Schizosaccharomyces pombe: one gene and its partner. The protein of the gene in region 1 purifies or fractionates together with the protein of each later gene. This does not show direct contact. Each region holds a gene or a part of one and is shown in the gene's direction. Other genes may lie near its edges. The genes, in order: rpn3 and rpn7.

Region 1 (4,492 bases):
GCAGTTTTAGATCCTCTTTCAAAAGATTCTCAAAAATGGTCAGCTATTCTTGAAGCAGTCTCAAAGTTGAACGGCGTAGGAGTTCGAATTCATTTCAATCCTAAACAAACTTTGTCTGAGCTTCCATTAACAAGGTTTTATCGATATTCAATTTCTGCGGAGCCAGAGTTTGATGCGCTTGGCCATTTAGAGGAGTCTTACGTAGAATTTGACAACTTACCGGCTGATACACTGCTTACAATGGACATTGAAGCTAGAGACGCATGGACAGTTATGCAAAAAGATGTGGACATTGATCTTTTCAACATAAAATTAGAGCACACTTCTGAAGCAGAGGCTTTGGACTCACATACAGCAATCTATGAACTTAAAAACATTTTGGTACAAGGTTACTCTCAAGAAGAATTCAGGAAAAGCCCACCGAGGGGTATGCAATTAAAGCTAGGCAACCTTACTAATTCCCATGTGACTGATACAATTGTATTATCAAATTTAGGATATTTTCAATTGAAGGCGAACCCAGGCGTATGGACTTTGGAACCTATGGATGGGCGGTCTTCTCAGTTTTATGAAATACTGTCGCTAAATAAGAAAAATTCCTATAAAGACCCTCAAGTAATTGTTGACAGTTTTGAAGGTGTCACCTTAAATCCGGTTATGCGACGTAAACCTGGTTTTGAGTCTGCCGACATTATGGATGAAGACCTTAGCTCCCATAAATTTTTCGATAAAATAAAAAAGTCTCTCAGCTTCTTTAATTTCAAACGTAAAGAAGCATCTATAAATATTTTTTCTGTTGCCAGCGGACACTTGTATGAAAGATTCTTATACATCATGACTAAGAGTGTAATTGAGCATACGGATAAAAAAGTCAAGTTCTGGTTTATTGAGAACTTTTTGTCCCCTTCTTTTAAAAGCTCTATTCCGGCCATTGCCAAAAAGTATAATTTCGAGTATGAGTATATTACTTACAATTGGCCACACTGGCTGAGAAAACAAGAAGAAAAGCAACGTGAGATATGGGGATACAAAATATTGTTCCTTGATGTTTTATTCCCTTTAGAATTGCATAAGGTTATCTATGTTGATGCCGATCAAATTGTGCGTGCTGACTTGCAGGAATTGATGGATATGGATTTACATGGTGCTCCATATGGGTATACACCCATGTGTGATTCTCGCGAAGAGATGGAAGGTTTTAGATTCTGGAAAAAAGGATACTGGAAAAAATTCTTACGTGGATTAAAATATCACATTAGTGCATTATATGTTGTAGACTTAGATCGTTTCAGGAAGATGGGTGCGGGTGATTTACTTCGCAGACAATACCAACTTTTGTCTGCCGATCCTAACTCCCTGTCTAATTTAGATCAAGATTTGCCAAATCACCTTCAACACCTTATTCCTATATACTCTCTTCCGCAAGATTGGCTTTGGTGTGAGACATGGTGCAGTGATGAAAGTTTGAAAACTGCCAAAACAATCGATTTATGTCAAAATCCTTTAACTAAAGAAAAGAAGCTGGATCGCGCACGTAGGCAAGTCTCTGAATGGACTTCATACGATAATGAGATAGCATCCGTATTGCAAACCGCCTCTAGTCAATCAGATAAAGAGTTTGAAGAAAAGGATAACAACTCATCTCCGGACGAACTTTGAAACATACTTTTCTTTTGCTTTCATATTATTTAATTCGTGATTGTACGCCTGAAATTTTATAATCGTTTTTCTAATTTACTTGCGAATTTGCATAAGTTAGAAGAGAAAAGAGTTAAAATCAAAATGTTTTAATGAATTGCTTGAATACTGAGAGTATTGGCTTTAGGGATTAAAAGGGGTCAAAATTAGTATATGTCGTCCGTTTGAAATGAGCTAGTCATGAGTTAATTTTTTCCTCCAATCTTGTTAGGACCATTTTGCTGGTGCATTCTACAAGTTGTATACAACGATTATGGTGCTAAGAAACAACTAATCGTGAGCAATGCTACGTTTATTGAATGTTTGTTGAAGACGCGTATTTTCATTTATTTAACTATTCGATACTATCTTCTACTTTGTTCAAACATTATTCGTCTATTATGCTGTAATAAATATTGCATTCAAAAGTCTTTACTAAATAGAACATTTAATATATTCGTGTTTATAATCATAGGGAGGAAGTATACAGCACAGTGAGTCGTAAGCTTAGGCATATGCCCTCCACTGAACGTAACCACTACCAAGTACCAGTATCAATATGATTGATGATCAGAGAGGTTTGTTATTGATGGGAAAGTTTTTGTATTTATTAACGTTAAAAAGATATGCAGGTTGATTCTGTAAACCAAGAAGAAAATGTTGATTCTGGTGAAACAAAACAGAACACTGTAACTGAAGTTCCAAGAACAGTTTTGCAAGGTGAGTTAATGCGTCAAAATTTATTTATTTCTAACAAGGATCAGATGTGGAAGCAAATATTGCTGCCTTAATGCAAGCCACCAAACAAAGAGATCCCAGACTTGTCTATCGATCATTAAGAACCACATCCAACATTTGCCATAGACTGAATGCGGATGTTTTAGGCCAGTTAATTAAGAAGTATTATTCTTTTGATAATTCTTTAAAAAATGAATTATTGGAACTTATTGATATGCCACAAAATGGTGATGATTCTTCCACTTCTATTACAAATGGAAATGGCAACACAATTTTTCCGGAAGTGGATATGTACTTACAACTGCTTCTTAGCATGACACTTTATTATAATGAAAAATATGAGGTAGGCGCTGAATATATTAAGAAGGTAATCGCCCGTTTGCAATCCTATGATCGACGAACCTTGGATCAAATTGCAGCCAAGTTATATTTCTATTACATACTATTCTTTGAAAAATGTAATAGGTCTGTAGAATGCAGGAACACTCTTTTGTCCGTTCATCGTACTGCATCTTTACGTCACGACTCTGAAACTCAAGCTATGGTTTTGACATTACTTCTTCGGAATTATATTCAGTTTAACCTATATGATCAAGCAGACCGTCTCGTTTCGAAAACATCCTTTCTTACGAATGCTAGTAATAACTTGGCAATTCGCTACCAATACTATTTGGGTCGAATTCGCGCCATTCAACTTGACTACACGACCGCTCATGAACATTTAGTTAGTGCTATACGTAAGGCTCCCAACACAGTATATGCCGTTCAATTTCTGGAAGCTGTTTACAAATTGCACATCGTCGTACAATTGCTTATGGGAGAAATTCCCGAACGCCGCATTTTCCGCCAAAAATCTCTCGAAAAAACTTTAGTGCCTTACTTACGTATTAGCCAGGCAGTTCGTATTGGTGACCTTTGTGCTTTCACTGACGCGCTTTCCAAGTATGAGGCTGAATTTCGCTTCGATGGATTGTATACTTTGATATGCCGCCTTCGCCATACCGTCATTAAGACTGGATTGAGGATGATCTCCTTATCTTATTCCCGTATTTCCCTTCGTGATGTTTGTATAAAGCTTGGTTTGGACAGTGAAGAGAGTGCCGAGTACATTGTTGCTAAGGGCATCCGTGATGGAGTTATTGATGCAAGTATCGATCATAGTAATGCCTTTATGGCTAGTAACGAAGCCATGGATATTTATTCCACCGAGCAGCCTCAACAAGCTTTTCATGAACGTATTCAGTTTTGTCTTGCCCTTCATAATGACAGCATAAAAAGTATGCGATATCCCATGGATGCTCACAAAAGTGAACTCGAAGGTGTGGAAGAGGCACGTAGGCGTATGGATAAAGAAATGGCTGAGGCAGATTTAGATGACGATGAGCCTGATTTGGGCGAATTTTAAAAAACTTATGGAAAGTTTATAGATCTTAAAATATACTTTCAAAGTTGTTCAGTTGTATGTTTCTTTAATGTCTATGAAAACTATATGTAGTTTACAGATTGAAATATTTAGTGAGTTTGCGAAGCTGTAACAGAAGGAAAGTTGTTGAAAAACAGTTTTCGATCGGTGCTACAACGCTACAAATGCGTTTGTTGTTTAAACTGAGACTTGGTCTTTGCACATTGTAATAAATGAGTAATACGCTAAAAACACAGGGGTTTGGAGAATGGTCGTGTGCTTTATTTTCAAATTTGTTGTTTTATATTTCGTATATAATACACGTATGCAAACACATTTATGGTTATGCTGTGAAGCAATACAGATTTGATCTTGGATTATGGTTCCAATCAAAGGTATACTTTAGTCTTTTTAATTATAAATGGCGAAATGGGCAAAAAATTTTTGTGCAAATTTATTTTTTGTTATGCATAACTAGAGCAAATAAAGCAATGCTATAAAATGGCTTCCGGCAGAAAATAATAACCACAGTGGATATAAGCTAGTTTTCTAACGTGACTTAAGTAACACTTTATAAAACCAAAGCTATACATTAGTCTCTCCCATTACCACTTTGTCAATTTTAGCTAAGTTAGTAGATATGATCAACACTATATATTTAAAGTGGAACGGCAA
Region 2 (3,818 bases), 280 kb from region 1:
CAGAATTTACGGAAATAAGCGAAACTTGGTCCCAATGATTGTCGGGTTCCTTTTCTCTTAATTCACCAAGTTTTCTCCTAAAAGAATGAAACTTGTTTTGGTAAATATTGTTTTGATAGACTTCGTCGGCAAGCAATACTATGCCCTTTGCCTTAGCAAAGCGCAAAACTTTTTCCATGCTATTTTCAGAAATGCAAGCTCCAGTAGGATTACCGGGATTAATAACCACGCATAAACGAACGTTGATACCTTTTTTAGATGCTTCATCAAATGATTTTTTAAATTGGTCAAAATCAATGTCCCAATTATTTTCCTCGGAGAGGCTGTAAGATACCATAGATCCACTCATGAGATCAATTTGGGCACCGTACAAAGGATATTGAGGAGCGGGAACCATTACACCATCTGTTGGCCTAGCGATTATCAAAGTCATTATAAGCCGGGCAGCGTGTGAGGCACCACTAGTCAAATATATGTCAGATGGCTCGCAATCAAATCCATCTCTCGCTAAAATATAATTAGAAAATGTGTAAAGATAAAAAGAAAAAAGAATGAATGGCGGAGTCTAAAATCATTTTTTATCGAGCAAGACCCTAGCAGCTTTAATGGGTTGCAGTATTTTTGCTAAATTTCTTAATACAGTCTGCGAATTGTCTCTGTGTCCGACGATCTTCACTCTTTCTTCTTAAAATGCTTACCTCTAATGAAATCCGCAACATGTCGCCTTACAAGCGGAATACCTTGAGAAGCACTATAGGCACCCAAACTTCCAGATTCCTTTAAGAGCATTTTGGATCGTTGTACGACATCCGTAGGGAACAAATTTTGAAACCACTTTTCCTCAGCATGGTCTAACAAGGTAGGGTACTGGCAAAGAGATAAAACCTGTCGAACGAATGTAATAGGAGACTGTCCCATCTGCTGAGGATTACCGATGTTTGCATAGACGATCTCACTGAAAGGATATGAAGAAGGATTTTCAAGTAAATCATCTTGGATCTCGTCCGCAAGAATGGCTAAAGCTCCACGGACGGCGTAATTTGCCTTAAATACTTGTTGATTCAAAGAATTAAGGTCTGAGAACGCATTTTGACAAAATCCATCAAGGTCCGACATTCTTGGAGACTCACAGTTAATATCATTTGGATAATCTGTAAACATAAATATAAAGTAGATAATCGTTATTTGATATTATGTACTTCACTCTTTCTACTGTATTTTATTTGGAGATACTTATCAACCGCTCACTGTATTCACTTATATTACATATACTAATTTTTTCACTAACTTAGCATAATGAACAGAGAAAAAATAGCTCCTAAAAAATACTCAGTGAATGACAACGTTTCCGTTATTTTTATATTTTTATTTTCCATTAACCGGATTATACAGGCTTAAATATGATATTCTAATAAACCATTTTTGTTTGTTTTATATATATTAAGTAAGCAATATTCAATGCGAAAAATTATTTGAATTCCTTTAGTAAGCCCCAACCTATGCTACATGTCGTGTAAACCAAAAAATTAGAACGATGTAAAAACAGAGGTATAGAAGAGATGCTTGCTTATTTGCTTAACTTTTTTGTCTTATAGAATTTGGTTAATTAAATTAATTTAACGATTTACAAGTTTCGAGAAGACTGATGGAATGTTCAAGCACTTGACTTTTCAGAATGGCATATTTCACAAAAAAGAATTGAAAAGAATAAAATTTACGAGTTTTAAGATTCGTTTCTAATAAAATTTAATTAAAACATGTTACTAGAACATAAGGAACAGTGGAAGTTGAAAAGTAGAAAAAGAACTTTTTCTCTTTAGTTGTTTGAATTAAATTTATATTTGAAATTTAAATAAACTACAAAAAATTAACATTTTACTAACTTTTAGATGAGTGAAATGTACAATATGTAGTTTAGTTAGCTGTTGATATGTGTTCTCCCTCTGCAACACTCACACACCGCACCATGACAGAAAAGGCAAGAACCGTATCAGATTTGACCATTTCGCAAGCGATTTTCGAGCTTTCCTCGCCATTCCTTGAGAATAAGAGCCAAAAGGCTTTGGATACGCTTTTTTCTGCCATTCGTGATCATGATTTAGCTCCACTTTATAAATATCTTTCAGAGAACCCTAAAACATCGGCAAGTATTGATTTTGATAGTAATTTTTTAAATAGTATGATAAAGAAAAATGAAGAAAAGTTAGCAGAGTTTGACAAAGCGATCGAAGATGCCCAAGAACTTAATGGAGAACATGAAATTTTAGAAGCCATGAAAAACAAAGCTGATTATTATACGAATATATGCGATAGAGAACGTGGTGTACAGTTATGCGATGAAACTTTTGAACGAGCAACATTGACCGGAATGAAGATTGATGTTCTTTTTTCCAAAATCCGTTTGGCATACGTGTATGCTGATATGAGGGTCGTTGGTCAATTATTGGAAAAATTAAAGCCACTTATTGAAAAGGGAGGTGATTGGGAGAGGAAAAATCGATTAAAGGCCTACCAAGGCATATATTTGATGTCAATCCGTAATTTTTCTGGTGCCGCCGACCTTCTCTTGGATTGTATGTCAACTTTCTCTTCCACCGAACTACTTCCATATTACGACGTCGTTCGATATGCCGTGATTTCTGGTGCAATTTCTTTAGATCGTGTTGATGTCAAGACCAAAATCGTTGATTCACCTGAAGTGCTTGCCGTGCTACCTCAAAATGAATCAATGTCTAGTTTGGAAGCATGTATCAACAGCTTGTACTTATGTGACTATTCCGGATTTTTTCGAACCTTGGCCGATGTTGAAGTTAATCATCTTAAATGTGATCAATTTCTTGTCGCCCATTATAGATACTATGTGCGTGAAATGAGAAGACGTGCTTACGCCCAGTTACTTGAATCTTACCGTGCTCTCAGTATCGATTCCATGGCCGCTTCCTTTGGCGTATCTGTTGATTATATCGATCGCGATTTGGCGTCATTTATCCCAGACAACAAGTTGAACTGTGTAATTGATCGAGTCAACGGTGTTGTATTTACAAACCGTCCTGATGAAAAAAACCGTCAATACCAAGAGGTTGTTAAGCAGGGTGATGTTTTACTTAACAAACTCCAAAAATACCAAGCCACTGTTATGCGTGGTGCCTTTAAGGTATAATTTAACTCAGTGCCTACGTTTAATGAAATATGGTTCAATGCATGTATCGTTTATCTATATTGTCTGGTTTAAACATTTGAAAAGTAATAATATGAAACGGTATTAAGTTTTGGTGCCATGAACATTATTTGTAAACGAAATGTAGAAATGATTAAAGCATACGAATCTTTATTCAACTATTATTAGGGACTAAATAGATAGTTGTGCAATTTTTGGTGGTGTTTACGTATATCTCAAATGTTTCTTCACTCGTAAATACAATGTTGTTTGATGAGCCTGCGACGCGTTCCATTTACCAACAACATTTCGTATGTTAGTGACACTAATTCGTAGCGAAAAGATTTGAAACAATACAAGGTTAAGAGATTAACAGATTGATTTAATATGGAATATCAAGAAGAGGCTTCTCTCGCCTCGGCTGAAGATTCGACTTTCATAGCTTCATCGCCTGTTCAAAGTGTTAGCGAGATGAAGTCTATTAAGCAGAAGAGTTTTCAGTATTTTGATGATTATGAAAAGAATGTCTCAGATAAAACAATTCAATTTCAGAAGCTACAAATGACTGCTAAAGAAATAATTGATGCTTTTGAGCGCGATTCTACTCAACGTACGCTACAAATCGAAAGTTTGGAAAGTAAGATAGGAGAGCAGGAACGGG

Evidence for each region.
Region 2: the proteins of rpn3 (region 1) and rpn7 purify together in Schizosaccharomyces pombe (affinity purification with mass spectrometry, with the first as the bait; one study listed by BioGRID). This does not show direct contact.

Annotation. Positions count from the first base shown.
Region 1 is NC_003423.3:710,276-714,767, forward strand, and holds rpn3 (19S proteasome regulatory subunit Rpn3), read left to right. Parts: upstream 1-2,214; 5' UTR 2,215-2,236; coding exon 2,237-2,255; exon of another isoform or gene 2,256-2,301; coding exon 2,302-2,397; exon of another isoform or gene 2,398-2,441; coding exon 2,442-3,820; 3' UTR 3,821-3,877; downstream 3,878-4,492. Other genes in the region: UDP-glucose--glycoprotein glucosyltransferase Gpt1, read left to right, coding at 1-1,659. UniProt on the Schizosaccharomyces pombe protein: Acts as a regulatory subunit of the 26 proteasome which is involved in the ATP-dependent degradation of ubiquitinated proteins.
Region 2 is NC_003423.3:429,893-433,710, reverse strand, and holds rpn7 (19S proteasome regulatory subunit Rpn7), read left to right. Parts: upstream 1-1,945; 5' UTR 1,946-1,966; coding exon 1,967-3,160; 3' UTR 3,161-3,318; downstream 3,319-3,818. Other genes in the region: alt1 (putative alanine aminotransferase), read right to left, coding at 1-507, 699-1,116; mcp6 (horsetail movement protein Hrs1/Mcp6), read left to right, coding at 3,545-3,818. UniProt on the Schizosaccharomyces pombe protein: Component of the 19S cap proteasome complex which acts as a regulatory subunit of the 26S proteasome, involved in the ATP-dependent degradation of ubiquitinated proteins.